Linked DNA regions of Macaca fascicularis. The protein of the gene in region 1 interacts with the protein of each later gene in a biochemical or structural test. Links are inferred from orthologs where the notes say so. Each region holds a gene or a part of one and is shown on either strand. Other genes may lie near its edges.

Region 1 (8,323 bases):
GGAAGTTTAATAAGATCAAGGCAACAGCAGATTTGGCATCTGGTGAGGGCAGCTCTCTGCTTCCAAGATGGCAGTTGCTGTATCCTCACATGACAGAAGAGGTAGAAGAGCAAGGGGGTCTAGCTAGGTCCCTCTAGCCCTTTTGTAAGAGCATGAATCCCATTCATGAGGTTGGAGCCCTCTTAATCACTTCCTAAAAGCCCCACCCCTTAACACTATCGCATTGGGTCTTAGGTTCCAGCATGTGAGTTTTGGTGAGACACATAAATTGAAACCTTAGCAACTGCTACACTGTATACCCTTGAAAAGTGAGAGGTTAGGAGTGCCGACCCTCACACAGTCAAAAATCCATGTATAACTTTTGACTCCCTAAAAACTAAACCAATAACCTGCTGTTTACCAGAAACCTTACCATAACATAAACAATTAACACATTTTATATGCTATATGTATTATATACTGTTTTCTCACAATAAAGTAAGCTAGGGAAGGAAAATACATTTATTACACTAAGTGGAAGTGGATCATCCTAAAGGACTTCATCCTGATTGTCTCCATGTTGAGTAGGCTGAGGAAGAGGAGGGTTTGGTCCTGCTGTGCCCTGGCGGAAGAGGTGGAGGAGGTGAAGGGGAGGCAGGGGAGGCAGGCACACTCTGTATAGCTTTTACTGAAAAAAACCCATGGATAAGTGAACCAGGGCAGTTCAAACCTTGCTGTTCAAACCTAACTGTACTTAGAAATGGTTAAGATAATAAATTTTAGGTTATATATTTTTCAGCACAATTAAAAATAAAAAAGATTTAGTGTTGCTAGAAACTATGACCTCTGGAGATCACTGTAGAAGAATCTGGAATTCTTAAATTCTAGGACATCTCTGACTTCTGGGTAATATGCGTGAACTTAAGGGAAAGAAGTATTTATTTCTGCATCAGGGTAAGCTCAGGTGTTTTCCTTAGGACTGTCAGAGTGAAGGAGTGAGCTGGCCTGAACCCTCCCCGAATTGCCTGGGTTGTCAGGCTCCTCTGCACGTGGGGCCTAGTGAGCCAGTCCATAGGCTGAACCTGGCTGGTATGTACAGAGCCTGCACATGTCTGCACAGCCTAGGTTAAGGTTTGGACACTTGCTTAGATTCCAAGGTCCTCCTTTGTACCCACTGCCCTCTTCGCTTGTAGGATTTATTATTATTATTATTATTATTTTTGAGGCAGAGTTTCGCTCTTGTCACCTAGGCTGGAGTGCAGTGGTGGGATCTTGGCTCACTGCAGGGTTCAAGCGATTCTCCTGCCTCAGTCTCCAGAGTAGCTGGGATTACAGGCACCTGCCAATATGCCTGGATTTTTTTTTTTTTTTTTTTTTTTTTTGCATTTTTAGTAGAGACGAGGTTTCAACATGTTGGCCAGACTGGTCTTGAATTCCTGACCTCAGGTGATCCTCCCACCTCAGCCTCCCAGAATGCTGGGATTATAGGCATGAGCCACTGCACCAGCCTGGATATATATATATATTTTTGAGACAGGGTCTCGTTCTGTGGCCCAGGCTGGAATGCAGCAGCCCGATCTCAGGTCACTGCAACCTCCGCCTCCTGGGCTCAGGTGATCCTCCTACCTCAGCCTCCCAAGTAGCTGGGACTGCAGGTGTGCACCACCATGCCCAGCTAATTTTTCTGTTTTTAGTAGAGATGGGGTTTCACCATGTTGGCCAGGCTGCTCTCGAACTTCTGGGCTCAGGCGATCTGCGCATCTCGACCTCCCAGAGTGCTAGGATTACAGGCATGAGCAACTGTACCTGGCAAAGTGTAGGATTTGAAACAAACTTTTATTCACTTTTGATCTCATTTAACTGTCATAACACTTACTAAGAACTCAACTGAGAACTTACTGTCATAGACCCTTAGGAAAGGACACACACATTTCCCAGTGCCTGTCCAGCACCAGCACGAGTGCTTTGTGGAGATTGCCTTGTTTCTTGCTGACATTGCCCTTCTGAGGTGTAGATGGTTTTATCGCCACTGTATAAAGAAGGGTATAGTATATCCAGTGCCCCACAGCTAAGTGACAGGACAAGGATCTCACTCCAGATCTTGTGACTTTAAAAATCACTTCCTTGGCTCTGCTTCGCCTTGTTTCCTAGATGGTGGCCATCTCATGGTCCAGATTTATATACATCTCAGCCTCAAATCAGATGGCACATTTGCCATTTGCAAGCTATTTGACTCAACCCATTGGCATATAACATACACCATGGTAGCAAGAATTGGCCAGAGGCTCCCCAAGACCAGGCTTCTGAAATCCCAACCCCAGCTCCCAAGCCCCAAGCATCCCATAAAATCTTTGCTAGATGTTCAGAAACCTAAAATTTGCTTCTCCACCCCTCCCTTCTCCCCAGGTGGTAAAGACAAAGAAACAGATGGCAGGGTTCTTTGTTATTCTTTTATCTGCTAAGTTTCCAAAAAGGTTAGATAGTGGAACTTTGCTGAGCAAGCCTTCTGTCCCTGAGTTGTCCCTGAGCAGCACCAAATGATCGAGTCTTATCTCCCCCTTGTTATCTCCAAGGATATAAAATGTTTTCTTTTCATGCCTTTTAATTTCTATGTAACATTAGCCATTCAGTTGACCTGAAACATTGCTAGTTTATTTCTGGCTGGCTTGTGTGTGTGTGTGTATCAGAGGGTCTATACTGTATACATAAATACTTCTCTAACTATTCTTTTCCATAGTGTTGCTCTAAAATGTCTCATTTACTTAATACTGTCAACTTAGATGGTGAATCATTTTATGTGCCTAAAAGAAATATCTACTCGGATGCTCTAGTTCCCTGGCAAGGGAGAGAGAGGGAGAAGAAAAAAGCTGTGAAAGTGGTGCAAATCCGAACTGCTTTCTTTTTTGCTCATAAGTAGTGCTTTTCAAAGCGTTTGGCATCCCTGCCGTATGGATGTGTCACTGTGTGAGATGACAACAGGATTTGCTGGAAATGTGGGCCACTATTGTATCCGCCTTACGTAACCACGTGGAGTGATGGAAATGGGTGAGCAGCCCGGGATGTAGGCGGTGGCCTGGCCCATGCATCTCCAGAGACCATGAAGACTGCTCAAGCCCTGCGTAGGATGTGGATCCAGGCTGTTAAAAAGTTGGGGAGATGGAAAGGCCGTGTGAGTCCCTCTGCAAGCTCTCCCCTTGTTTTCCCCAACCTTTCTTCATGGGAAGGGGAGGGAAGCAAAACCATTCTCTCAGTAACTCCTTTATCCTCAGATGTGTTTGTGCTTCTGGCATCTTTCAGCAACAAATTGTGAGATTGTAGGTTGTAGCTAGTCACTGGTGGTTTTTTAAAAAAAATACTTGTATTGATTTTAGCACATCTGTGTGAAACTTATAGCCTCTTACTGGATCTGTGGATCAAAGGCTGCTGTTGTCCATGTGCTCGGAATCTGTAATGGTTTTGCTTCCTGGGTAGAGCTTAACATACTGGCTTTTGTGTTTGTTCATGTATGAGAATTTCTTGTTTTGGCATAAAACTTTTTGCTTTCTTATGTTGCAGAAATCTATATTCTTACTATGTCTAGGCTTCTAACTTAGAAGAAGAAAAAGTGTTTTTCACATGTTCTTTTTTTCCTTGTGGTTTGAACATGTGTGAGTGTTTACTTTTATGACTTGAGACTTACGAAGCGTGTCTCTTATGTGGACAGCTTTCAATTAATCTTTGGTTTTAGCTTTGACCTCCATCACTGGGCAGCAGCAGTCCATGGATATAGAATCTAAAAGCCGCCTGCTCAGGGGGACTTTGGGCAGTGAACACTTCGGTATCTGTTTTAGGGTTGGCTTTTAACACGTTTCTACATTTTTTATGTAAAATATATAGGATTTTAACCTGTCTGGCCAAGATTTTTCAAAGGAAAAAAGCTTTATAAAAAGTAGATTAAAAAAAGCACAACAAATAACTATTTGCCTTAGTTCCTTTCTCTTATTTTGTCACACAAAAACCTTACTGTTAATGCATTAAGTTTTTTGTTTATGGTAGAAGAGTTAGCTTACTTTTAACTTTCCATGAGGTCTAAGAAGCCTGTTATGATATAAAGGGGGTTGTCATGAACACTACTTACATGAAAAGTAAAAGTGATAAGGAAAGATGATGAAAGCACATTGAAGATCCTCCTGATGGATAGAATGTTGACACTTGGATTAAGAAGGCGATTTAGCGTTTTCTGCGTGCACCTCCCCCCACAGCTCCCCAGACCTAACACCTGTGTCCCCACCCTGCCCACCGCACCTGCCTTGCTTCACCCCCCTTGCCCCTTTCAAATTACTGGTACCATCCCTCAACTTGCTCTCCTTCCAGTTGAAATTATTGTACCCTCTTCACTTTGCAAAATTCTAACTGCATTGAAAAATTTGCTGTTAAGTATACCTGTACCTCTTGGATACCTAGATCCTTCACCAGGAGTGAGTATTCACTTTGATGTTCACCCACTCATCTCCCTATTTTTTATTTATTTATTTATTTTATTTATTTATTTTTTGAGACGGAGTCTCGCTCTGTTGCCCAGGCTGGAGTGCAGTGGTGCGATCTCGGCTCACTGCAAGCTCAGCCTCCCAGGTTCACGCCATTCTCCTGCCTCAGCCTCCCGAGTAGCTGGGACTACAGGTGCCCACCACTACGCCCAGCTAATTTTTTGTATTTTTAGTAGAGATGGGGTTTCACTGTGTTAGCCAGTACGGTCCCGGTCTCCTGACCTTGTGATCCACCTATCTCGGCCTCCCAAAGTGCTGGGATTACAGGCATGAGCCACTGCGCCTGGCCCGGCCTCATCTCCCTATTCTTTTAAACTTATGAAATGTTTGGTACTCTAAAAGAATTAAATATCTAAATCATGAAGCATAATAAACAAATGCCATGAGCCCATTACACATATCTGCAGACCGTTACCAAAACAAAACACAAGGGAAATTTGTGTACCTCCCACCACACTCTGCCTCCTGCCCAGGTCACCTCATCCTGAATGTTATGTTTTTCATTTCCTTGCTTTTTCTTTATATTTTCACTGCATGGGTGCGTACGCGCGCACACACATACACATACACACAAACACACACCCCTAAATAATAGATTAATTTTGTTGGCAATTTTTTTCTGTAGCGAAAATGCATAACAAAATTTACTGTCTTTACCATTTGTAAATGTACAGTTCAGTAGTGTAAAGTTATTCAAGTTGTAAAACATTGTTTTTTGAGCTGTATAAAAATGGTATCATACTCTACAAATCCTTCTGGGGTGTTTTTCACTCAACTTTATGTTTGAGATGCATCCCTTTTGTGGTGGTCTGTGTGACTGGTTTGTCTGTCTTCATTGCAATATAACATTGTATTTTAATAATGTATCAATTTGTCCATCCTGCCCTTGAGAGATACTGGGATATTTTCCAGGTTTTGGCCGTTGGGAACATTGCTGCTGTGAATATACATGTGTCCTTGTGCATATAGTCACACAGTTTTCTGGGGGCCTCTGCCTGGGTAGAGGAATGACTGGGTCGTGGAATGTGCATGCCTTTAATTCTGATGTATGTGTGCTGTCTCTATGGGCCTGCCTGTAAAGCTCCCCCTCGTGCTAAGCAGCTACCTGCTGTCATTCAGAGAAACGTCAGTTATTGCTAGCAAGTCTGATCTGCGCATAGCCAAGCACAAGTTGGGCGGGACCAGAGCCCGGTGGCCTAGTTTGAATGTCATGACCACAGCTCCCAGCTAAGCTGCTGCACCCTGGCAGCCTGTGCCCAGGGATGTTCCCAGAGCTGATGTTCTGAGGAATAAGGATGATTATGTGGGGTGCTCTATGTTTCTGAAAAATTATATAAATGAGGCAGGAAAGACACTCAGTAGTTTGCTCTTTGGTAAACTGCCCAAGGGCTTTGGCGGTTTTATTCGCTGATGTGCCTGAAGTGCCACAAACCATGTGCTCGGCAGAAAGTGGATGCTTAATCAGTGTTTTTGCATAAATGAACAAATGAATGAATAATGAAGAGTTTTCTGTGAGACTTTCCCAAAAAGTCACAGTTCTGTAGGCTAAATATACATAGTTATGGTGTATTTTTAATGCTCAACAGAGCTGCAAAAATTTACTTTTACTCTAGTTCCCTACCTTTACAATTAAGATTTTCTGTTTATCACTTGGCTTAGCAGAGCATATGTTCTTTGAATATTACATTAAGTAGCTAATGGTTAATTTTACTACCTGTTGACCGTAGGTAAGAAGAAGCCTCGCGATCTGATTGGTTTCAGGCACCAGGCAAGTTAATAGCAAGGTCTGATTGGTGGTGGTGGTGGTAGGAGATTAATCCTCTCTGACAAATTTAATTTAAATTACCCTTGCAGGCAGCGCAGGAACACTTAAAGATACTGTCATCCTGTTGTTGAAGGGCTGTGAATTTCAAAAGCCAGATTCATTCTACTTGAGCCACATTTAAAAAATAAAATTTTGCAGGAACTCATTTATTTGGCTAAATGATAAATTTAAATCCAAAACTTTGAAGAGTTTGTAGTTTTAAATTCTAAAATAGAAAAGTATTTTTAAAAGTAATGTACTCATAAAAATATTCTCTGTAATAGCACAGCTCCTTGGGATATTGAGCTTTTTTTTTTGGTATGTAGCATTGCCCAATCCTGGGGATGATTGTCATAGTCCCAGTTAGGTTTTTTCCTGATAATTTTAAAGTAAGTTTTGTGGGGAGGGTGCTATGTGATTTTTTTTCCCTTTAATTCATGTGGCTATGACTATATCCAAAGAAGAGTTGGCAAATATATTTATTTTACCACAACTTCTAGATTAGTTCACTTTGTTGAAAGTTGACAGCTTTAAGGTATAAGAAGGCATTGAGAAGATGAGCTTGGAGAAGTGGGCATGCTCATGAGGTCATTTCTGGGTGGTAGTGGCTTGGTTTTACTAAGGCCACATCTAAAACTGAAGTTGGTAAGGAGTTAGTAAGGTGTTCTATGGAAATGGAAAAGGGCAACCAATTCCGATTTACTGCAGGAGTTCAGTTGAGTGTCTGCTTTCTTTTTCCCTCCCTCCCTCCCTCCTTCCCCCCTTCCCTCCCTCCCTCCCTCCCTCCCTCCCTCCCTCCTTCCCTCCTTCCCTCCTTCCCTCCTTCCCTCCTTCCCTCCTTCCCTCCTTCCTTCCTTCCTTCCTTCCTTCCTTCCTTCCTTTCGAGACAGAGTCTCACTCTGGAGTGCAGTGGTGCAATCTCAGCTCATTGCAACCTCCACCTCCTAGGTTCAAGTGATTTTCTTGCTTCAGCCTCCCACGCAGCTGGGACTACAGATGTGCACCACCACACCCAGCTAATTTTTTTTTGTCTTTAGTAGAGACAGGTTTTCACCATGTTGGCCAGGCTGGTCTTGAACTTCTGGCCCCAAGTGAACCACCTGCCTTGGCCTCCCAAAGTGTTGGGATTACAGGCATGAACCACCATGCCCGACTGGGTTTCTGCTTTCTGTTTCCGTTTAAGAAAACTTTTTGGCCAGGCACGGTGGCTCACACCTGTAATCCCAGCACTTTGGGAGGCCGAGGCAGGCAGATCATCTAAGGTTGGGGGTTCGAGACCAGCCTGACCAACATGGTGAAACCCTGTCTCTACTAAAAATGCAAAAATTACCTGGGTGTGGTGGTACATGCCTGTAATCCCAGCTACTCGGGAGACAGGCAGGAGAATCGCTAGAACCCAGGAAGTGGAGGTTGGGGTGAGCCCAGTTCGTGCCATTGCACTCCAGCCTGGGCAACAAGAGTGAAATGCCATCTCAAAAAAAAAAAAAAAAAAAAAATTTAACAAATATGTACAACTTCATTAAAATCTTGGAAAAAATTTTTTTTATACATATTGGAAAATGCTGTTTTCGACACAGGCAAAATTCCAGAGAGGAATGGCTGTAGAGCACGTCTAGAAAGTCAGATCATGGGCACCTGAGTTTTTAGTCCACCCACCTCACGTATGCTATCAAAGCAGCAGAGAGCCACGAATTTGATAGAAACTTTAAGAAAATTTATAGGCTGGGCACGATGTCTCACACCTGTAATCCCGGCACTTTGGGAGGCTAAGGCGGGTAGATCATTTGAGGTCAGGAGTTCGAGATGAGCCTGGCCAACATGGTGAAACCATGTCTCTACCAAAAATGCAAAAAATGAGCTGGATGTGGTGGCGCACAACTGTAATCCCAGCTACTTGGGAGGCTGAGGTATGTGAATCACTTGAACCCAGGAGGCAGAGGTTGCAGTGAACCTAGATCACACACCTTCATTCCAGCCTGGGTGACAGAGTGAGACCCCGTCTCAAAAAAAAAAA
Region 2 (7,659 bases), on another chromosome or scaffold:
ATTATAGATGAGTTTGAGCAAACTCTTTGTGGTGGGGTTCCTAAAAATGTATAGTGTCAGGCTTTTTCCTTTGAGGAAAAATAGTTGTGGTGTTTTGCCCAAATTCAGCTGTGTGACTGTTAGGAGCCACCCATCAGCTTCATAGGAGTCAGGGGTTTTCACCTCTAGGGACCCTTCAAATATCACAATAAGCCCATCTGTGTACCATGAAGAGGGTTATTAAATAGTTCATCTCATGCCTCAGGCTCCTCTAGAGGAGGCTTCAACCTGCTTTCCAGCACCTTCTCCTATCCCTGGGCTGTACTGGCTTCTTGGTAGATTGTCTGAATATCATCAGCATCTCCTGGAGGGAGAGGGAGAGCGGACAGTGGACTTTTGTTCTAATTTAGCCTTTCCTTTATTTGGGACACAGGGTCAGTGAAGCTAGAGGAAGAGAAGTTATTGATGCTTCTGTGATTTTCTGCCAGGCTTACAGAACAACTGTGTCTCAAAGATGGGCATGTCTCCTGTTTTTTGTTTTATTTTGTTTTATTTTTAAAGCCTGGAATGAAGATTGTTATTCTTGAGGGTGATAACAGGTTTAGTTTCTGTCTCTGTCACTAGTCACTGGTCTCTCCAATGAAATATATGTAAAGCTTTCAGCACTGTGGCTGGCACCAAGCAAACAATAAATGATAGATGCCAGCTTACAGTTGCCACCTTCTCATAGAAGGCCTCCTTCCTCATTCAGCTTTTTGCTTGTTCTCCAGAGAATCACATTTTGGAAGATGTGAACAAATGTGTCATTGCTCTCCAGGAGAAGGATGTGGATGGCCTGGACCGCACAGCTGGTGCAATTCGAGGCCGGGCAGCCCGGGTCATTCACGTAGTCACCTCAGAGATGGACAACTATGAGCCTGGAGTCTACACAGAGAAGGTTCTGGAAGCCACTAAGCTTCTCTCCAACACAGGTACGGGAACTCTAGCTTTTCAGTGCTCGCACACACTGCAACCTGAGTAGGGCAGGCCACCCGATTAGCCCAGCCCTGTGGTGAGGAAGGAGGAGTCGGGAACTCAGATTTGGTCTCATGGCACATTGGGCTCCTGAGAAGTTGGTCATAGCCAAATTCAGGCCTCACAAGCATATTTTCTTCATGTGTATCTCATGAGTAATCATGGGACTAATTCTAAACACACTATTTAAGATGAATTTCTGAGTTTAACCTCAGGTTAAACTATTAACCTGAGGTCCTATTCTTAAGCAAGGCTTCAAGTTAGTCTCACTTCCAAGTTCTCAACCATCCAATCCCTCAACCATCCAATCCCTCTGTTGCAGAGAAAAAGATGATTTGAGTTGTTGAGTTGTTGTAAAATACTGCATTTATTTCAACCATAAATACTCCTCACATAGATAGAAGCAGAGGCTCTTCATCATAAGCCTCACCTCTTTCTGTCTAGCTGAGTGATTCAGGGAGGGTCAGGGGAATGATGCTGCCTGCATACCAGGACATCTGCTGTGCCCCTTTCTCCACAGTCATGCCACGTTTTACTGAGCAAGTAGAGGCGGCCGTGGAAGCCCTCAGCTCGGACCCTGCCCAGCCAATGGATGAGAATGAGTTTATCGATGCCTCCCGCCTGGTATATGATGGTATCCGGGACATCAGGAAAGCAGTGCTGATGATAAGGGTGAGTAACTGCATTTCAGACTTAACAGCTTCTTTCTTATCATTTGCTAAACTTGAGCAATGCGTCATTCTAGAACTCGGCAGATGCGGTAGCAGTATATTAAAACCATGAATCTAAAATCTGTTAGAATGAGATATATTTAATTATGTTGTCTAAAATGACTGTTAGTTGCAAGTTAGAGCCCAAACTTGGGCCAAGAAGAGGAGCTAGCCTGAGTTGACGATTTAATTTAGGATAAACAGTCTCTACAACATGAGGCTTCAGTTTGAGTTAGGCAGGAAATTATAGAAAATAATGGTTCTCAAGCTAGTATCAGAGAAGGAAGTCTTTTCGTAATGCAGATTCAAGTTACTGTTCACATGGAGTGCCCCTCTCTTCGGAGAGGCTGCAGGCAGACAGGATGATGGAACCCCAGGGTGTTGCGGGGAGAAGTGGCCCCAGGTGATGCTCCTAGGCTCATGGCCAAGTGCTGAACCCCTTTCCCCATAGCCAGAATGCCTGGAGGGCCTGTAGCAAGGGCAGAGGAGAAACGGGCCTCTGCGGCATCTGTGGTTGAGCTCCCGGCTTACCGTCCTGCTCTCTGACACTATTCCTGTCTTCATTCAAGAATTATCCTTCCAGCCCCTGGGCATCTCAGTTTCTTGATGTCTTGTCCTCCTCCACCTCAGCCTCGTGGCCATAGCCGTACCTCAGCTTTTGTCACTGCCTGCCATTGTCTTTGTCATTCCCAGCAGCCCGGTTCTATTGTTGAGGTTGCGCCCTTGAGTCCTGCAACTCCCAGCGAGCCTTTTGAGTCCACTGTGGGGTCTTCAGTCAGTTGGTCCTCCCTGTTTGACACTCACTCAGCCCCTTGTGTCCTTGGTTCAGTCTTTTTTCAGCTTTGAGTCCATAGTTGAATATTCTCACTCCTCTGCCCAGCTGTTTCCTTACACTTGCCTTGCAAGGTGCAGTCTTAGCAAGATCCTGCTCTCCTGAGCACAGTGCAGATGGCCACAGCCACGCCGACGGAGCCGCAGAAGCCGCGGCCATTTGTGGGCCCTTGCTGCCCTGCAACAGGTGCCCGTCCACCCACCCACACCTGTGCCCCTGTGCTATTTGGCCCTCTTGCCGATTTCATTGAGGATACTGAGGCAGTTAGTACGGCCACCCCGCTGCATCCATGCCTGTGTGCTCTGCCTTCCTCCTAGGACTATGGGCATTGCTGTTGGTGCTTCTGGCTGAGGCCGTCCCTTGCATGTCCTTGTACTGGGGTCCCAGCTTCTTCACCCCCTGCCTTCTGTACCTTTCCCCAAGCCTATGATGATTTCTCCCATTTTTAAGGGGGAAAAAATCTCTTGACCCACACCCCTACTCAGTCTCCTTGGCTGGTTTCTCCCCATCTCCTCAGCCTGTGAAACATGGGTGTGGCCTGCTGGGAAGTCCTTGGCCTCTTCAGAGTCCTGTCTAGAGGCCGACTCTCCTAAGTTCCACACTTGCCTGTGCACCTTGCCTCCTCCCTCTCACTTGCTCCACCCAGGCAGCACATGTTGATAGTGACTCCGTCTTCCCTTGCTCATGCGCAGACCTCGGATCTTTTATTTCCCTTTTGTCCCATACCCCACATCCGCTTTATCTGTGAATTCTTTTGGCTCTCCCTTCACAGTAGAGAACCTGAACATGTTCTCACCCTCGTCCAAGCCGCCAGCACCTCTCACCCGGGTTCATGCAGGTGCCACTCAGCTGGTTCCCCGTTCCAATCCTGGGTGCCTACAGTCTCATGAGCCACAGGGCAGCCAGAGCGATTTCTCTAAGCTTCAGTCAGATCATGCTATCCTCTGTGCCATCCTCTCTACAGGCAGCCACGTCATTCTTTATGCTGGCCTACAAGGCTTTCTAGGACTAGAACCTGTCACTTCTCCAACCTCATCTCCTGCTGATCTCCCCTTGTGCTCATGGGGTTCCAGGCAAGCCGGTGACATAGGGGCAGTGAGCTAAGCCCCCCTTCTGTGGCCTCCTTGCTATTCACGCAGTTCCCTGGGCCAACGCCCCTTCCCCACAGCCTCAATGCTGCCGCCCGCCCCGCCTACCCCTCGAGAGCACCTTCTCATCAGACTTTTCCTAACACCCGCATGGAGTTAAAACCTCGCTTTATTCCTCTCTGCTTTCTTTATACACTGGCCACTTTTGATGTGTCATATAATTCATTTGCTTACTTTGTTGCCATTTCTTCCATTAGAATAGGCATGAGAGGAATTTTTATCTGTCTGTCACTTTGTATCTCTAGGGCCCAGAATGCTTGGCAGAGAGAGAATGAATGAATGAATGAATGAATGAGAGTACTCGGTTTTCTTGGCAAGAACGGTTCTTGGGTCTGCGATGGGGTCCTGGGAAGGCAGAGATGATGTTAGGAGGTGGTCCTTTGAAAAGCCCCTTAACTGATTGCATGCCAGTCCCGAAGGCATGTGTGACTGCAGTGTTAAAACCGTCAGTGCTGGCATTGTGTTTTGTGTCACCAAGTCCGTCGGCCTCCAGGACCTCACGCGGACATGCTGTCTGGTGCCACCTGAGTGAGCATCCACTCCTTACCTCATCAAGGGACAGGCCCAGCCTTTGCGCAGCACGCTCTTGGTGGCTCCGGAATGTTTCTTGCATATCTTCTTGTTTGAACCTCACAGCAAGTCCTTGGGCTGCGCTTGGACTAGATCCTGGTACAGATGAGGGACTCGCCTCACTGCCCTCCTGTCACAGGCCAGCCGGCTGGGCCGAGCGCCAACCCCAGCTGTTCTGCCTGCTGCCCCCTTACTGATAACTGCCAGAGGACAACATTATGTTTCAAGTCAGTAGCTAATCATGAGAGGCTGGTAGTTGGTACAAAATAAGAATTTTATTTCATAATTAAAGCAAAGAGCTAGGACGAGTAATCAGTCCCTTGGGTATTTACTCAGCCCTTACCTGTCATATTCTCCCTTCTTTTCTTTTGATGAAAGTCAAAAGAATACTTTAAAATTGCCTATTTTTACTCCTCCAAGCAGCCTTGGTACCCTAACAGAAGGCTCAGTTATTTAATTTTCTTTTTGTCATAAAGTAGGAAAGTTAAACAAATCTGCTTAATACTATACAAAACACCTCTATTTTTAAGTCAGTACCTTTTCTATCCAGGACAGTTCTCATCTTTGTCTTTAAAATACAGGTGTTGGGGAAGTAAATTAGGAAGTAAAAACCTTATGTCGCCGGGCACGGTGGTTCACGCCTGTAATCCCACCCAGCATTTTGGGAGCCCAAGGCAGGGGTGGATCACCTGAGGTCAGAAGTTCAAGAGCAGCCTGGCCAGCATGGTGGAATCCCGTCTCTACTAAAAATACAAAAATTAGCCGGACGTGGTGGCGTGTTGCCTCTAATCCCAGCCACTCGGAGGCTGAGGCAGGTGAATCACTTGAACCCGGGAGATGGAGGTTGCATTGATTCCAAGATCACGCCACTGCACTCCAGCCTGGGTGACAGAGCGAGACTCTGTCTCAAAGGAAAAAAAACAACCTTATGTCTTATAAAGAAATAGTGAATTGACTCAGTGATAGCCATTGAGCCCCACACACAGTGAAGCCAGCGCAGGCCTGCTGTGGGCCAGGCAGCCCAGCGCGTGCAGCAGTGAAGCAGAGGCTCGAGACAAATGCTGAGTGATTGTGACTTTATTCATCATACTGTTCAGAACACTGCACATTAAAATCCAGAATTCTGGGCCTCCGTGCACCTGGCCAAGAGGCTCAGGGTGGCTGGGGGCTGGTGGCCTGTGACCCAGAGATGTGTCTGACTTGTGATCTCTGTCTTGGTGGCAGACCCCTGAGGAGTTGGATGACTCTGACTTTGAGACAGAAGATTTCGATGTCAGAAGTAGGACAAGCGTCCAGACAGAAGACGATCAGCTGATAGCTGGCCAGAGTGCCCGGGTAAGGAAGCGCTCTGTGGGGCAGTTCAGCTTGTGCTGCCACCTTCCCTGTCCCCTTTCTTGTTTCCAGGAAAACACCCTCAGTATTCAGAACACCATTTCTCTCTCTCTGGCAGTAGACTGAAGTTAAACTAAGTTGTGGCACCTGCTAGTCACTTGTAGCCTCCTCAGCTAGAGACAGACCAGGTCCTGGGCCTCCTCTGCAGTGCCCTGGGGCTTTGGTTTACGATAGAGCCCTGGGTCAGGAAAGGGCTGAAATTTAGTCAATGCAGTGTTTGTTGAAAGGATCGTGAAATTTGAAAAAGATTGCTGCCTTTAGCCATCTCAGTGATGCCATGGGTATGAACTATTTAATTATTCATGGGTTTAAAAAAATAACAGTGGTACATTCAAGAAAGCCAGTCAGAGCCATTGCATTCATTTGAGTCATTAAATCTTCAATCAATAGCATTTATGTTTTGGGGAGGATGCCAAGAAATATTTCTAAGGAGTCTTTGATTTCACTCCTTGGAAATCTGTCATGAACAGCGAGCACATCGCTGCCTTATGTCCTGCTCCGTCATGAGCACTTTGGGAAGCTGAGAGGGAGGAGCTTCAGCCGCAGGTCTGTGGGCTGGAGGTGGGCAGCAGGCCTCCAGGTGCTGCTCGAGTATGGCCTTAGTGCTCAGCCCTCTTTCTTCAGGTGTACATTCTGAAGCCACTTTCAGTTCACCTTGAATAGCTGGAAATGTCCACCAGGGAAAGGGTTCCACACTTTCATCAACCCTTTCTCTCATTTCTTGTCTTATATTAAAGAATTAAAAAGCAGGTTCTGTCCCTGCACAGTTGTGATTCCAAAGCTTCCGCATTAGCCTTCCACCCCTCGCTGTTTGCTTCCACACTAAAACTTGTGCTCGAAAGTGGGTCGGAAATTCAGGCTGCTGTAAGTGTCTGCAAAAAATGAGAGAAATAGCCCTTTAGGCAAAATGAAATCTGTTAAAGCATTATCCTACCTATGCCATAGATTGCCTGTTGGAAATATTCTTGGCTAATGCACTCTGAGAACTTCATATTCTTTTTATGTAAGAGCTCTTTGTGCTTCTGATCACAGGCGATCATGGCTCAGCTTCCCCAGGAGCAAAAAGCGAAGATTGCGGAACAGGTGGCCAGCTTCCAGGAAGAAAAGAGCAAGCTGGATGCTGAAGTGTCCAAATGGGATGACAGTGGCAATGACATCATTGTGCTGGCCAAGCAGATGTGCATGATTATGATGGAGATGACTGACTTCACCCGGTGAGCAGCACCCTGGCCCCACCAGGCTGCACAGGGGCCACTTTCTTTAGGTCACCTGCACAGCGGCTTAGACAGCCCAGGCCATGGGGCTTTGTGGACATCTGTTTTCTACTCATCTCCAACTGTGAGGGGCTTCGCATACAATGATCCTTGTTCTCTCTTCTCAGAGGTAAAGGACCACTCAAAAATACGTCAGATGTCATCAGTGCTGCCAAGAAAATTGCTGAGGCAGGATCCAGGATGGACAGGCTTGGCCGCACCATCGCAAATCACGTAAGTGACAGACCTGCCAGGTGGGTCTCCAAGCTCCTTCTGGGACTCAGGCAGCCCAGCCTGGTCCATTCAGGGTAAGTTTCATGGGCCACAGCACTTTTGCCACCCATCTCTAAAAATGGTTCTTATTAATCCCAGCATAGATTCGTAAGGATTCTCTAGAGCAGATGTGGATGTCCTGGAATCTTCCGTCACTTGTAGCCAAATTAACCTCTGCTGTTGTCTATTATGTCTCAGTTCCCTCTCTGGGCAGGGGCTGAGGGCAGCCAGAAGCCATGTGGCCAGTGCTGTGGAAGGATGGTGTGCCCAGATGGGGCCAGGTTTCTTCATCCTCAGCACTGTGGCTCTTAGTCACCCTGCCGTCATCCCCCTATTCCCTCACACTGTGATAGGTACAAAAATATGGTTCATATCACCTGGAAATGTACAATATGTTTGATTTGGTGTTTTAAGCCTGATCAAGAGAGGCTCTTTCTCAGTTATAGTTTTTCTCTGTAGTTAACAAACCTCCCCACCATCTTCCCTGA
Region 3 (8,143 bases), on another chromosome or scaffold:
GCTATTAAAAAGAACTAACAAAACCTGATTTGTACATCATATTCTAAACTACGTGCCTCTCCAGGAGGGTGACTAAGAACGGTAAAGATCTAGAAAAGCTGGCCAGGCACAGTGGCTCACGCCTGTAATCCCAGCACTTTGGGAGGCCAAGGCAGGTGGATCACAAGGTCAGGAGATCGAGACCATCTTGGCCAACATGGTGAAACCTCGTCTCTACTAAAAATACGAAAATTAGTTGGGCTTATAATCCCAGCTACTTGGGAGGCTGAGGCAGGAGAATCGCTTGAACCCAGGAGGCAGAGGTTGCAGTAAGCTGAGATTGTGCCGGTGTACTCCAGCCTGGAGTGAGAGCCAGAGTGAGACTGTGGCCCCCCCCAAAAAAAAAAATCTAGAAAAACCATGTCTTAAGACAAACAATTAGAAAAACAGGAAATGTTTGGCCTGGAGAACTGAACATTAGAAGAATCACTTTAGTAGCCCTGAGGTATCTGAAGAGCTGTATCCTAGAAATGGTTAAAAAAAAAAAAAAAATCCAAAAACCACCATGTTAGGAAGCCTCTCCCTCACCCTGACCCCACACCCCCTCCAAAAATAACGAACAACAATTTGAGCTCATGCAATTTATGCAAAGCTTAAGTTATTTGATATTTTTTTGGAGACCAGACTGGAGGACTTCTAAGGTCTCTGAAATTTCAAAGTGAATCTGTGACTGTGCTTTAAGGCCGGCAGCCAAAGGTGAAAGAGGACCAATGCCCAGCACAGCAACATTAACAATCTGTACATGTGTTGAGTGAAGGAAAAAATAAAATGAGGAATGAAGAGACCACTTATTAACTACATGAACTTATGTCAAGAGTGACAAGGACAGAAGTCAGATAGCTAAATGAGAGTCAGGGGCAAAAGGGAAGCAGCAGATCCTTGTCAAATATGTTAATCTGAAAACCAGCATCTTGAGCTAATGATAATATATAAAAAGCATTCTCCCCTTGACAATGTTTACTGACCAAAAGCTATCTTAATGGAAAACTAAGCTAAGATGAAAAAAAACAGGCTGAGGCTGGGTGAGGTGGCTCACACTTGTAATCCCAGTACTTTGGGAAGTCAAGGCAGAGGGATTGTTTGAGCCCAGAACTTCAAGATCAGGCTGGACAACAGAGACTCCGTCTCCATCTTTAAAAAAAAAAAAAAAAATATATATATATATATATATATAGTAGAAAAAAATAGACTGAAAATGCTTTGCCCTCAAATTATTCTTTAAAGAAAACTTTCAATAAGTGAAAAATAAACATATTTAAGAGAAGTCTGTTCCTTTTAGGGCACAAGCAGTAACTGTCAGTTTGTCTTTAAAAAGTTTAAGTTGTGCCTTATATTAAATGATTTAGATTATAGGCACATCATTAAATTGTCTAAAAATTTGAAGTTAGGCAGATTTTGTAATAGACTGTGTCAGAAATTGTATTTTTAATAAACCTTCCAAGTGATTTTTTAACACACCACGTATTTTGAGAATTGCTGTTTACAGTAATGGTGTCAATCCAAAAAGGACATTGATCTTACAATTTCCTGTCTAGAAAGCCCAGATCTTTTACACAGCAGACACCTGCTGTTCACATCTCAGCTCAGATGCCACCTTCTGGGAGATGCCCTCCCAGTCCCTCACTCCATCACACAAAACTTGTTTTTTCAGAGCAAACTCCCCTCTGCCCTCATACCTAAAATTATTTTAGGTATTATCTCCACCCCATCTGGAATGCCTCCATCCCAGGCATCGAATGTCTATTTTGACCATCATTTATATCCCTGGTCCCTGAAACTAGCCCTGGCACAAAGTGATTGTCAATGAGTACTCAATTAATAAAACCACGTCAATTGTTAGAGTTGGGATTTCAATCCAGCAGTGAATGCCTTGAAGTTCTTCACACAACACCCAATCAACACCCAATAAACCTATTTTTTTTTCCTTTACTTCCAACTTCAGTGTTCAAATGTAATTGAGTAGAGTCTAAGAGAAAGGGAGAAAAAGAGGACAGAACAGTCTGAGAATCACCTGTGAGCCTGTTAGAAAGGCAGAATCCCAGGTCCCACTCCTGACCTCCCAATCAGAATCTGTGTTTTAACAAGATCCCTAAGTGATTCATACTACAGCCAAGACTGCAATCACTGGGTTACGGAACAGCGGCAAGCTTAGGGGTTAAAACGAAAAGCCTAACAGAAATCTACATGGTCTGTTTACTCTATTTCTATAAATAGTAATTTGATGAAAAAGATCCACTGATATTCCAATCAAATAAGCCTTAAAATGCAACTGAAGAAAACTTCCTTCTGGGACGTTCCTGGGAAGGTGAAAGATATTACATCAGATCATTTATGTGGTTAAAAGTAATCTATTATTTTGGAAAGGCAGTAATTCCAACATTACCTTTAGAAGAAAAAAGAATTTTACCATGACATCAAGCAAAATGCGGGAAATCTTGTATCAGGCTACAGGTACTAGTCAATGGTACAAAGGTCCAGAAATATCCCCCAAATCTGGTTCTGGAATATCAAGGACCGCTGCTTCTGATATTCCTTCCCAGATTAGCTGAAGCAGTTTGCAAGCAAGCCCACGCAACACGTTTCCCCCACAGCATATGCCCGCTTTTAAAACGGAGTTCTACTAAGGTCTGCCTTTTAGAGTTGTTGGGATAATTAAATGAGAAAATACAGAATGCTTTTAGCACTGTGCCTCACGTGCAGGAGACACTGCCCATTATTTCCCGAAATGGCCTGGAAGCTGCCAAAAGGTGGAGAATCATGTCTTAACGACCTCCCTATCCTCCGCTCCATCACCTAACAAAGGAGGCCCCTAATAACTAAATATTGCAAAACGACAAAAAAAAAAAAAAGTGTTGCTTTGTTTGAGGAAATATCTGTGCCGCCCCCACACACTCAAAAAGCACCACTAAGAAAATATTCATAAAGGCTGGGCGTGGTGGCTCCTGCCTGTAATCCCAGCACTTTGGGAGGCCGAGGCGGGTGGATCACCTGAGGTCAGCAGTTCGAGATCAGCCTGACCAACATGGCAAAACTCCGTCTCTACTAAAAATACAAAAATTAGCCGTGCATACTAGTGGGTGCCTGCAATCCCAGCTACTCGGAAGGCTGAGCAGGAGAATCACTTGAACCCGGGAGGCAGAGGTTGCAGTGAGCCCAGATCACGCCACTGGGAGACACAGTCGGACTCCGTCTCAAAAAAGCAAATAATAATAATAATAATAAAAACAAAAGAAAGACTCATACGTACAGTGCAAAAGAACTATTGTTACACTTGGGAATGCCTAGTTTTCTAAATCACCATAAGTGCCTTCATGGGAAGCGTTTCTCTTTTCCAGGTATTCCAATAATACACCTGTTGCCTAAGGGCCACACACTAACTGGCCTAGAAAGCTGCCGCCTCCTCGCCCGGGATAATTCCCCAAGCGGGCAGTGTAGCCAGCAAGCCCCGGGTCCGGCCTGAGGATGCCGCGGTTTTCCCCTCGGGCCCTGTGGCCTCCAACCCGTAGGCGCAGAGGCCATCTTGGCCCTTGACCCCCGCTCCCCGCAAGCTTCCTTCCACGCAGGCAACATGGCTGGCGTGCGAGGCCGGCCCAGTCCCGGAGGTCCCCAAACTCCGTGGCCCGGCTGGGCGCGGGTCCCGGCGTCCGTGCGCCCCGAGGTGCTCCCGGGCAGCGCGCGCCCGCTTTCGCTGGGCAGGCACCGCCCGGAGGCAGTTCCGCCCCCCTGGCGGCAGCCCTTTTGGTCACGGGTGAGAATCCCAAGCGTGAGCAGCTTCCCTCGAAATTAACTCCGTGAACCCCAGCTTAAATCGGCGCGGGTTCACACAACTCCCAACAAGTGGATTCCAAGTAGCCAGTGTGGCCCACACCGTGACTCCCGGAATATTTCAGACTGAATCCAGCCCCCGTCTCCCCGGGATACCCAAAGGAGTGGGGTGGGGTGGGAGCGGAAGGGATGAAATTCCCCCCGGGATCTAAGCGGCTCGGACCAGCAAGCAGTCTCTCGCTGCAGCCTCAAGCTTAGGACCCCCAACGAGCTGGGCGCAGGACCCCTCTCCATGAGGGCCGCCCCCCAAAACTGCAGCCCCAGAGCTGATGCAGGATCGTCGCTGTTCAGGAATGTCCTGCCTCATAAAAGTGAAAAGTTGCCCGCGCCGCTGAGGCACTGCTAGCTTTAAGCGTCTCCGCGGAATAAAGCTTGATCGGCGGCTCCAAGCCGCCCCTTGCCCGGGGAGGCAGCCTCCCAAGTTGGCCGGTGCTGCTCTCTCCGCAGACCCGCGCCTCTCCGGTTCCCACGAGTCCCAGCCCGGGGACGAAACTGCCACCGAAACCAGCGCGGAGCGTCCTCCCCCCCGCACCTCCCCTAACAGAGGCGCCGCGGTCCCCCCACGGGGACCCTGGGGGCTCCCGTGCGCCCCTGACGCCGCGCCCAACACTCACCCACTGGCCGCACCTGGGCCCGACCCTCCGGGGGCCAACCGAGCCAGTGAGCGCGCTCACCTGGCGGGCGCACCTGACGCCGCGCCGACCGCCAGCGCGCAGCCAGGGACTGGGCTGGGGACGTCTCCTCCCCCTCCTCTCTCTCCTTCCCCTCCTCCCCCTTCTCCCTACAACCGGCCCTGCCCCCGGGCATGCGCACCAACGTGGAGGGGGGTGCGGGAAGCCTGCGGGCCAGCCCCGAGAGACCCACCTGCTGCGTCCCGGACGGGCTCCTCGGCGCTCTGGCCCTAGCTCTCGGTTCTTGCCGCCTCCGCCGGAGGAAGCAGGGAGGGAGAGGTGGGCGCGGGAGTGTAGGTGTGGTGTGTTGGCCTCCTCCCTCGGTGACCCATTCACCTGAAACTCGGATGGGAGGGGGCGGGAGGACGCAGCCCTGCTTCCCACACCCTGCCAGCGCGCTGTTAAAGGAACCGCGCGATGTTCCGGCCGGAGGGGCGGAGCGCAGAGGAGCAGCGCGGGCTCCCAGGGGGCAGCACGCATGGGGGTCCTGGACCACCTAGGGGTGCGTTTGGTGCTCCGCCTGCTTCACATGGAACCTTGGGTGTCTGACGGAGAGACGTCGAACGAGGTCCGGAGGGGACTGTTTCCTCCGGAAAGGGTCTAGGCACTAAGCACTTTGATAGGAAAGGCACGTCCTCTCGGGACACTTTTCTGCTTCCAAAATTTGATTGAACTGTTGCTGGAAAAAGGCATCTAGATGTGTTGCTCCCACGAAAGACTCCTGGGAAAATTTCAAAACTCGTGTGTAAATATTGGCGCTATTTCTGAATCTCTAGATTCAGAAATAAGACAGTTACTTAGTGGGGATAAAATGAGGGTGAACTACTGTAGCTGTTAGTTGCCGTCCAGCAAGCTAAAGTGCATAATACACAGTTTACACATCACCACCTCAGGGTCCTCCCCTGCCCACCCGTTCCGAAATGTAACTGGTCCGCTCTTGGGGACGGGGAGATTTAAACTATTATGGCTCTTTGGCCTAAGAAAAAGCACCTTATACTTTGTTTACCAACCTGTAGTGCTTTAAGAACCCTACTTAAAAAGCAAAATAAACCTGGTTTATTTGTTTATTTTTTTAAGAAAACGAAAAAGCACCTTAGTCCTGGGTGCTGTATTCTATTTCTTGATCTGGATTATGGTTCCAAAGGAAATTTCATAGTCTGCACTTAACACTGTGTATGTTTTTATGTATGTTTGTTGTTTTTGAACATATTTTTAAATTGTACTCCAGGATGAGGTAATTATAGTTCTTGGCATTTAACTACCTGCATTGAAAGCGAACTGTTAGGTTTCTTAAATCCTGCTTGTCTTTGCGTTCCAATCTGGAATGTCAGCATTGCTAATAAATTTCTATCCAATCCCACCCACTTCTCTACCTTTAATTAAATGGTTGGAGATGTGACTCTCCCATACATTAGATCTTAAGGCACAATTCATACTTAAGGAAGTAAAAGCACCATGTAAATATGAGGTATTTCAGATGATGACAGCTTTAATGAGTAATTAATTTAATTGGTATTTTTTTCGTGGAAGTCATTGCCACAAATGCTTTAATATGACTATGTAGTTTTTGAATGATGCAGTTTAAATTGGTATTGTTAACACTGGGGAAGTCAGGTTAATCCTCTTAATGTTCCCTGTCAGATTACTGAAATCTCCAAACATTCCACTTGGTTTATAATTAAACAAGGGAACATTTCCTAATACTCTCAGATTTGTAAACACATGTCCATTATTTTATAATGTATTTTGATATGTTCTGAAGAGGAGATCTTAGGAGTTTTTTTCCACTTTATAAAAGAGTTCACATACCATAAAATTCACCCTTTTAAAGGGCACGTACAATTCAGTGGGTTTTAGTATACTCACCAGATTGTACAACCATCACCACCATCTAATTCCATTTTAATCACCCCCAAAAGAAACCCCATGCCCATTAATAGTCACTCTCCATTTCCCCTCTCCCCTCATCCCTCGGCAACCACTAATGTACTTTCTGTCTCTATTAATTTGCCTGTTCTGGACATTTTATATGAATGGATAATACAATATGTGCCCTTTGTGTCTGTCTTCTTTCACTTAGCATAATGTTTTAAAGGTTCATCCATGTTGTAGTATGTATCAGTACTTCGTTCCTTTTTATAACTGAATAATATTCCGTTGTATCGATGTATCACATTTTGTTTAATCATTCATCTGTTGATGAACATTTGGGTTGTTTTTCCTTTGGGGATGCTGTGAATAATGTTACTATGAATATTTGTGTACAAGTTTTTTTGTGGATGTATGTTTTCAGTTCTCTTGGTAAATTAGGTTTTTAAATTAAACTTTTTATCATTTTAAGATAATAATTTATGCATATCATGTTATTTTGCTTATTCCCACCCTAAACCTAAACTCAAAGACATGTTGTGTTGGGTAGAAGGTTAGCTTTCATATTTTATTTGCTTTCCCAATTCATTCCTTCAACTATTTTCTGAGTGCTCTGTACACATGAGTGAACAAAACTCAAAAATCTCTGTGAAACTTACTTTCTAGTTAGTTCTGAGTTCATCCATATGGAATAATAGGATTCATTAAGTTGAAATATATGAATTCTATTTTATTCGCTTGAGATTAATTTTCTAAACAACACAGCATCAAAAGAACAGTTAACTATTGCCCAATATTGTATATATTTGGTAGTTGAAAGTGTCTAGAAAGAAAAATCCAGCCTTAAAACTTAAACACATCATTCTTCAATACCAAAACAAAATTTGTTGGATGTTAAATGATGCCATGCTCAATTTAATCTAAAATTTACATAATCATAAATTATAGCAAAATTTAACTACTATATTGTTACCAAATATTCCTTCTTGGCAACTCACATTAGTATTGAGTAGTATCCACTATTGGATATTACTTAATGAAAATCCCCATGACTCAGAGCAATGTAAATATTATTCTCAGAAGAACCCCATGATTAGAAGCTTGTTGACTTTACCTGCAGTCAAATGGATGATAAGATGAAAAAACAATTTTTTTTCTCCTTTTTTATGTGTAAAAGAGAAACTTAAGAGCTCAGATTATGGTGTCAGAAATTTCATTTGAAATTCCAGTGTTGCTACCTGGTAGCTGGGTAGGACTAAAGGAAATTAAACTACATAAGCCTCATTTTTTTCCACCGTAAATTTGAGATGATAATAAACAATACTATCTTTATAAGTCTGTTGGTGGGAATGTGGAACATTCACCAAGACAGTCTATATGCTGAGCCATGAAACAAGTCTCAATAAATTTAACAAGCCATTGCTGTATCCTATCTGCCTGAAATAGGAATTCTATAACTTTGTGTTGGATGAATGAATGAACGACTATAGCCCTGTTTCCCAAATCCAACGTACCTGTGGAATCTTGTCCTCCTCTCAGATGGCCTCCTGCCATTGTGAAACCTGCACATTCCTTAGTAGCATTTCAAGGCTTACATTCTAGTACTAGGGTTTAGAGGGGAAAAGACGGGAGATTAAAATAGTTCCACGGTTTCCACTCTGCCTTGCCTACTTAGTAAATGAATTCAAGCACTGGTATGTGTCCAAGGCAACTCAGTTTGGAGTTGCTGAGGGCCTGGC
Region 4 (7,659 bases), on another chromosome or scaffold:
TTCCTTAACCTCACAGGGTTGTCTTAGGGATTAAGTGTATTAACACATGTGTAATACTTACAGAACCTAGCACATCATAAGGACTCAATATATATGCTTACTACGACTTCTCTAGTCTAGTCCTTTCAATCTAATCTCTGTCCTTATATAAGGAAAGTCTATGTTTGGAAGACCTATGGGGGATAAGGGCCTCCCTTGGCTTTCAGGAAAACATATAATATATGCTTGCCCCGGGTTGCTTGGCCCCAGGGTGCCATGTCCTCACCTGGTCTTTCTGGTCATTGACATGCTGCCGCTCGTCTTCAATCTGGATGGATAGCTCTTTAACTTTCCGCTCCAGTTTTCGATTGGTAGACTGCAGAACTGTCTTCTCCCTAAGGTGAGATAGAAGAATGTCTATGAGTGACCCCATTTCTAAGGGAATCCTAACTTGGCCCCCTACTGTCCCCAAGGACTTCTCTCAGTCATGAGCCCCACCATTAGACTGGGCAGGATCCAGGGCAGATTCAAAGAACAAGGGAGAATGCGGTCATTCACATTTCAGAATTTCTGCAACTCTCTTTGCTCTCTACCAGGAGAAAACGTTCCCTAAAGATCAGGCCAGGTTGGCCACATCTGAGGTGGAAGATGGAGGGAGCCATAAAAGAGAAAAGCCAAGAAGGAGGGAGGAAGAAAAGGAGGGAGGGAGGGAGGGAGGAAGGATAGGCTTATGGCACCTCTCTTCAGCCTGTAGCCGCTCCTGCAACAACTGATTCTGGGACTCAAGCTGAGAGAGGCTGGCACTGGGCTTCTGGAAGCCTTCTGAGCTGGCCAACCGGGTCTTCAGGTCTTTGTTCTGAGAGAGATAGGAAGCCTCCACAGTTAGCACTCCACTGGCCACTTTACCCACCTCCTGGGGTCCATCCCTAAGAACCCTCCCCTCCCCACTCACCTGTCTCTCCAAGGAGATTTTGTCACACTCCAGGTCCTGCCGAGCAGACCTCTCCTGCAGGAGCTCTGTCCTCAGCTGATCTACCTAGTGGGGATGGGTGAGAGGACGAGACTTGGGGGGGGCTAAGGATGAACCAGCAAGCTGAACCAAGTGAGGCTGAGTCATGGGAGGATGGTCTCTGAACCCTGAATCCAAAAATTCCCAGGCAACTAAAAAAATCACAGCATATTCAAATGGGAGGAGCCAGAGAATGTAAACAGGGCCTCCTTCGTCCCACCAGGAACTAGTATCCCTTGTAAACTAAAGAAGCCCCAATTCAGGTCAGAGAGTAGCCCAGGCCACCAGGATCCCTTCCTCCACACAAATTATTGGCTTCTTTCCACCCAGGGAAACTGGTCAACCTTTCCCAAAGCAGACGAGACCCTGAAACAGACCCAGCCATGCACAGATTCGGCAGCCAGATGATGAAAGATGGGAGGGCAGAGTTGTTTTTGAGAGAACCAAGAGGTGATGTAGTCAGGGGTAAACAGAGATGAGGGATAAGGAGGGGGTTACCTGGTCCCGGCCACGATTCACCCGGTCTGTTAGCAGCTCCACAGTGTTCTTCTCCTCATCTAACTCTGCTTCCAGCCGTGAGACTTTTTCCTATGACGGAAGAACAAGTTAATTCTGTCCCAAATGCTGGACACCAGAATGCCAAACTCAGACCAGGAGCCTCTCAAACTCCCGCATTAACAGACTTTTCTCTCTTGCACATCCCCGTAACCTTTTGGTACTTGCCGGGGCCCAGAGCCACCATGGAGCCAGCGCCCTCTGCTGACCAGATGTGGCATCACGGGCAGGTCGGGGCCATGCTCTGGTCACTTTGACAGACAGGCAAATCTACTCTTCATTGGAAAACCCTATTTCTCTAATGGGGAAACAGAGAGAAACCCAAGTACCTGGGCCAAGGCTGAGATGAAGAGACTCAGAAACTGAGGCACTGGAGGCAGTACCATGTAGAGGCTAAGAGTATATACATGGGACCAGACTGTCCAGTCTGAAAATCAGATTTACTGCTTCCTAGACCATGGACAAGTTCATCGCTCTGTGCCTCAGTTTCCCTCATCTGTAAAATGGAGAAAACAAGACTACCTACCCCAGAGTTATTCTGAGGATTAAGTCTTAACTGCCTATCACACAGCACAATATGTTTGCTGCTGCTGTTATTATTATCAAATATAGCAAACTGAAGAATACTGTTCACTCTAAAGGGGAAACCCACTGCTCAGCTCCAGCCAACTGTTGCCATGCAGACTCAGGACAAGACACTAAGTATTACCGTATCTGCCAAATACAAAAGAAACTAGAAATCCAAATGTTTAGGTGACATCTATAAATTTCTAAACATTGGCAATTGATTCAAAGTTGTTTAAAATACTGCAGCCGAACAAAACTCATCAACTGTGGGCTGTCGGTTTTGACCGCTAGTACAGAAAGAGGCTTGGAAGTCCCACCCCTTTTCCACAGGTCACACCCCAGTGCCCTCACCTCGAGGCCCTTCAGCTGCCGGGCCCTGTCGTCCTGGGAGCGCTTCTTGTTCTCTGCCTCTTGCTCCAGCCCCTGCAATCGCTGGGCCAGTAGCTCTTTGTCCAGCCGGGCTGTGTCCCGCTCAGCCTGGGATGCCTGCAGGGCCTGCCGCAGCCTCTGGATCTAAGCAAGGGTAAAAATGCCACAGCTCAGTGTAGTAAAAAGGTGAAGGTTGAAGGGCAGGAGCAGTCCAGCCCAGTGGGCAGAAACATTTCATCACTGTCACTCTTTAGAATTACCAGTGGCATGGTGACAATAAAAAGCAGACTGACTTTTCATCCATTTTCTTTTCTTTTTCATTTTTTAGATGGAGTCTCATTCTGTCACCCAGGCTGGAGTACAGTGGCGCGATCTCGGCTTACTGCAATCTCCACCTCCCAGGTTCAAGTGATTATCCTGCCTCAGCCTCCCGAGTAGCTGGTACTACAGGCATGCGCCACCACGCTTGGCTAATGTTTTGTATTTTTAGTAGAGACAGGGTTTTACTGTGTTAGCCAAGAAGGTCTTGATCTCCTGACCTTGTGATCCGCCTGCCTCAGCCTCCCAAAGTGCTGGGATTACAGGCGTGAGCCACTGCACCTGCCCTCATTCATTTTCTTTATTGTTTCTGTTTTTGTTTTTTTTTTGAGACATGAAATCTCACTCTGTCGCCCAGGCTGGAGTGCAATGGCACGATCTCGGCTCACTGCAACCTCCACCTCCCAGGTTCAAGCAATTCTCCTGCCTCAGCCTCCTGAGTCGCTGGGATTACAGGCGCCCACTACGCTCGGCTAATTTTTGTATTTTTAGTAGAGATGGGGTTTCACTGTGTTGGCCAGGCTGGTCTCGAACACCTGATCTCATGATCTGCCCACCTCAGCCTCCCAAAGTGCTGGGATTACAGGCGTGAGCCACCATCCCCAGCTTCTTTATTGTTTTTAAAGTCTCTACACAACTTGGAATCACCTGAGGAGTTTTTTAAAATACTGATCCTGGATCCCATCCCCAGAGATGATGACTGAAGTGGTATGGAATACAGCTTGGGTGTGGAGATTTTTAAAAATCTCCCCAGGTGGCTCTAAGCCACAGAATTTGAAAATCACTGCTCTACAGACAATATATTCCTCCATGCTGCAAGTCATTAGACCTAAACCTGGGCCCCAGGGACCCTTGGTCACAGGTTCAGTTAAGAGGCAAGGATGGGGCCGGGCACAGTGGCTCACGCCTGTAATCCCAGCCCTGTGGGAGGCCAAGGCAGGCAGATCACGAGGTCAGGAGATCGAAACCATCCTGGCTAACACAGTGAAACCCTGTCTCTACTAAAAATACAAAAAAGTAGCCAGGTGTGGTGGCGGGCACCTGTAGTCCCAGCTACTCAGGAGGCTGAGGCAGGAGAATGGCGTGAACCCAGGAGTCGGAGCTTGCAGTGAGCTGAGATTGCGCCACGGCACTCCAGCCTGGGCGACAGAACGAGACTCCGTCTCAAAAAAAAAAAAAAAAAAAAAAGAAGCAAGGACCTTCAAACCCAAGGATATTAGGCTTCTACCTCATCCTGAAGCCGGCTCAGTCCCCCAGAGGTCTTCTCAGCCTCACTCGCCCAATCCTTGGCCTGGCGCTGGGCATCTGCCACCTCCCGCCGGGCCTTTTCCTTATAATCCTCCAGCTGGGCCTGGAGCTGCTGCAGGGCTTGCTTAGAGTCCTCCCCGATCTTCTCCAACTGAAACACAGAGAAAAGGGTCTTCAGCACTGTATATAAATGTCCCTCTCCAGGCCCAGACTCCCAAGACTCTCCCCCAAGGGTCTCCTTCCTGACAAGGTAGCCTTCTCTTGTTCTTTCCTGGACCTAGGTTCCTAGTATAGCTAATAGTTATATACAGATGTCTGGGTTCAAATCCTGGCTCTACCACTTACTAGTGACCATATGTAAGTTACTTATCTCTCTGGGTTTCCGTTCCCCAACTGTAAAATGGGATAAGAATAGTAGCTATATCACAAGGTGTTGTGAGAATTACGTTAGTTAATTATGTGAAGTTCTGTACTTACAACAGTGCCTGATACAAAGTAAGCCTTAAATGACCATTTCAGCAAACCCAAGGTGCCAATGATTATAAGACGTACAACTAAGAAAAATCTGCCAATTGAACTATAACATACCATAAGTTATAAGACACAACTCTATTTCAGAAATGATAAAATGTGCATTTTTTATTGACAAATGATAAAATGCGCACTTTAGAATTGATGTAATATATTACTTGTTTGTTCTTGTTTTACAAAAAGATTGGGAGGAGAACCTTAGCAGCAAAAGCAATTTATTTCCTTTTCTTTTTTCTTTCTTTTCTTCTTCCCCTCACCAAAATTTAAAATTCTACCAATGAAGATTTTTTTTGTTTGACAGGCTCTTGCTATATTGCAGTGGGGCAGTTATAGCCTGCTATATTGCAGGCTACAGCTCACTGCAGCCTCAACCTCCTGAGCTGAAGTAATCCTTCTACCTCAGCCTCCCGAGTAGCTGGGAATACAGATGTCTGGGTTCAAATCCTGGCTCTACCACTAATTAGCAACCATAGGCAAGTTACTTATCTTCTCTGGGTCTCAGTTCCTCACCTATAGAGAAACTGAGGCACAAGCCACCACACCTGGCTAATTTCTTTTTTTTTTTTTAAGTAGAGACAGAGTCTTACTATATTGCCCAAGCTGGCCAATGACAATTCTTGTATATAGGTTTTGTAGACTCCTAAGGGAGAATCCCAGGAGATGCTCTCCAAGAATGAAGACCATAAAGGAATGGGATGTGAGGGAAAGAGCAAAAACATGGAGGGGAGGTAGGAAGGATGCCCCTTCCAGAAGATTTGGTCTTGGTCTTCCTAACAATGTACTTGAGGAAAGCAAACATCACACATTCTTTTTTGTTGTTCTTAAGACAGAGTGTTGCTCTGTCACCCAGGCTGGAGTGCAGTGGTATGATCTTAGCTCACTGCAACCTCCGCCTTCCAGGCTGAAGTGATTCTCCTGCATCAGCCTCCTGAGTAGCTGGGACTACAGGCACGAGCCACCACGCCTGGCTAATTTTTTATATTTTTATTAGAGACAGAGTTTTGCTGTGTTGGCCAGGCTGGTCTCAAACTCCTGACCTCAGGTATCTGCCTACCTCAGCCTCTCAAAGAGCTGGAATTACAGGCGTGAGTCACCGCACCTGGCCATAAACATCACACATTCTGACTAACCCCTCTCCCCTAACCCCCTGTCCCCTCAGGCCAGCTTCTGGATGAGCTAGGCCTCTTCCTAAAGGCCCAGAATACCCCATGCCCCACCTCCTTGTTCAGTCGGTCCACAGTCCTATCCAGCAAACGCTTCTGCTCCTCCAGCTCAGCCTTGCCTCGCCGGAGCACCTCCCGCTGCTTCCCTTCCTCCTCCAGGGCCCGGTTCAGTGTCTGCTGCTCTTGCCCCAGGCGGGCCAGCCCCCGCTGAGCCTCCTCGAGGCGTGCCTCCAGTGCCCGCTTGGCTGCTGCCAGACTCCCTTCCTCTTCCTGGGACGCATTCAGGGCCTCCTCCAGTTGCTGTTTCTCTGCCTGGGAGGTAGGGAAGCAGGGTTGGACTGAAAAAAGGCAAAACTTGGGTTCAAGTTATTTGGAGGTGGGTAGCTGGACGGGAGAAAGGAGGTATTTATGCAAATGGTGCGCAATGAAAACAGGCTCCTAGCAAAGAAATCAGGATGCATACAGCAAGCAAAGGGTGAGAGATAAGAGACAAAAATACCAGTGCAAAGACTGGAACACTGGCGCCAAAGTATACTCCAGGAAATAGACCCAAGGTTAACAGAGGGTTTGGGGAGGCGAAACAGATGCACACTAAGAACAAAGTGAAACTGATGGCTGTTTAGCATAGGAGTATTTCACCAGGGTTGAGCAGAGAGGGCTGGGAGGGCAGAAGCACTGACCTCCAGCCGCTGCAGCTTGTCCCGTAGTCGTGCCTCCACCGCTTCCCCACCATCCACCAGACCTCGAGTCTCCTTCAGCTGCTGCTCCAAACCCAGGATGCGCCGGCGGAATTCGTCATTTTCCTCCTGGGTCTCCCGAAGCGTTGTCTCCACCGCGGCCCGCCGCTGCCCCAGCACTGCTGCCTCTGCCTCGGCCACCATCTTAGCCTAAGGACGGTTTAGGGGGTGGCAGCTCAGACCCCAGTGCTTGGGGCCATTGACCAAACCCAGGAAAGCCGTCCCAAAGACCGCCCATAAGAATGAGGCTTAAAGAAAGGAGCTGCCACCAGCCAGACGCTTCCCTGAAAATCCCACCCCTACAGAGATACAGGTGTCCTCCCCCTGCCAAATCCTGGCTTCTTTGAACCACACACCTAGGACCCAGGAACTGGTCAGTACATACCCATGACAGGTAACTTTCCACACCCTCTGGCTCCTCAGCCCTCCAGACACCCTCAGCCTCCACCTCCTAAGCCCTGTGCCCACTCCCCTTGCCTTGGAAGCCTCTTCACAGTCCTGTCGCAGTTGCTGGAGGGTCTTTTGTAGCTGGAGGTTCTGTTCTTCCAGCTCCCGACCTCGATCAGCCTCAACCCTCAGGACTGCCAGCTGCTTCTCCAACTCCCGGTCCCGGTGTCGCCCAGCCACCTCCTGGCTCTGCCGTTCTGCCTGCAGTTCCTTAAGCTCCTCCTGTGTCTGGAGCAGCTCCTGGAAGGAAAGGGGAGGTGATGGGGCACCTAGAGCCAGACTAAGATACCTGAATGTGGAGAAGCTGAAACTCTCACACACTGCCAGGGGGAATGAAAAATGATGTGGCCACTTCAGAAAGTAGTTCGGCAGTTTCTCAAAAAGTTAAACACAGATTTACCACTTATATCACCAGCAATTCCACTCTTAGGTAACCCAAGAAAACTGAAAATGTGTGTTCACACAAAAACTTATACATACGTGAATGTTCATAGTAGCATTATTCATTATAGCCCAAATGTATAAACAACCCAGATGTCCATGAATTGATGACTGGACTAAACATGGTACACCCACAGAGTGGAATATTATTCAGCCATAAAAAAGGAATAAAGTACTTGGCCAGGCGCAGTGGCTCACGCCTGTAATCCCAACACTTTGGAAGGCCGAGGCGGGTGGATCATGAGGTCATGACTGAGACCATCCTGGCGAACACGGTGAAACCCCGTCTCTACTG

The links.
Region 2: the proteins of TJP2 (region 1) and CTNNA1 form a complex in vitro, tested with the Homo sapiens proteins (2 studies listed by BioGRID and IntAct, with this or other methods). The link is inferred for Macaca fascicularis from reciprocal best matches to the Homo sapiens genes TJP2 and CTNNA1.
Region 3: the proteins of TJP2 (region 1) and OCLN form a complex in vitro, tested with the Homo sapiens proteins (3 studies listed by BioGRID). The link is inferred for Macaca fascicularis from reciprocal best matches to the Homo sapiens genes TJP2 and OCLN.
Region 4: the proteins of TJP2 (region 1) and CGN form a complex in vitro, tested with the Homo sapiens proteins (2 studies listed by BioGRID and IntAct, with this or other methods). The link is inferred for Macaca fascicularis from reciprocal best matches to the Homo sapiens genes TJP2 and CGN.

Annotation. Positions count from the first base shown.
Region 1 is NC_088389.1:99,939,843-99,948,165, forward strand, and holds the start of TJP2 (tight junction protein 2), read left to right. Parts: upstream 1-3,069; 5' UTR 3,070-3,076; coding exon 3,077-3,148; intron 3,149-8,323. UniProt on the Homo sapiens protein: Plays a role in tight junctions and adherens junctions. Acts as a positive regulator of RANKL-induced osteoclast differentiation, potentially via mediating downstream transcriptional activity.
Region 2 is NC_088380.1:145,424,007-145,431,665, forward strand, and holds part of CTNNA1 (catenin alpha-1), read left to right. Parts: intron 1-749; coding exon 750-950; intron 951-1,513; coding exon 1,514-1,665; intron 1,666-5,312; exon of another isoform or gene 5,313-5,477; coding exon 5,478-5,588; exon of another isoform or gene 5,589-6,517; intron 6,518-6,677; coding exon 6,678-6,859; intron 6,860-7,026; coding exon 7,027-7,132; intron 7,133-7,659. UniProt on the Homo sapiens protein: Associates with the cytoplasmic domain of a variety of cadherins. The association of catenins to cadherins produces a complex which is linked to the actin filament network, and which seems to be of primary importance for cadherins cell-adhesion properties.
Region 3 is NC_088380.1:75,172,801-75,180,943, reverse strand, and holds the start of OCLN (occludin), read right to left. Parts: upstream 4,803-8,143; 5' UTR 4,729-4,802; intron 4,590-4,728; exon of another isoform or gene 4,479-4,589; intron 2,534-4,478; exon of another isoform or gene 2,423-2,533; intron 1-2,422. UniProt on the Homo sapiens protein: May play a role in the formation and regulation of the tight junction (TJ) paracellular permeability barrier.
Region 4 is NC_088375.1:109,675,160-109,682,818, forward strand, and holds part of CGN (cingulin), read right to left. Parts: intron 7,164-7,659; coding exon 6,954-7,163; intron 6,627-6,953; coding exon 6,420-6,626; intron 6,052-6,419; coding exon 5,794-6,051; intron 4,197-5,793; coding exon 4,026-4,196; intron 2,624-4,025; coding exon 2,462-2,623; intron 1,577-2,461; coding exon 1,487-1,576; intron 1,016-1,486; coding exon 932-1,015; intron 836-931; coding exon 717-835; intron 375-716; coding exon 266-374; intron 1-265. UniProt on the Homo sapiens protein: Probably plays a role in the formation and regulation of the tight junction (TJ) paracellular permeability barrier.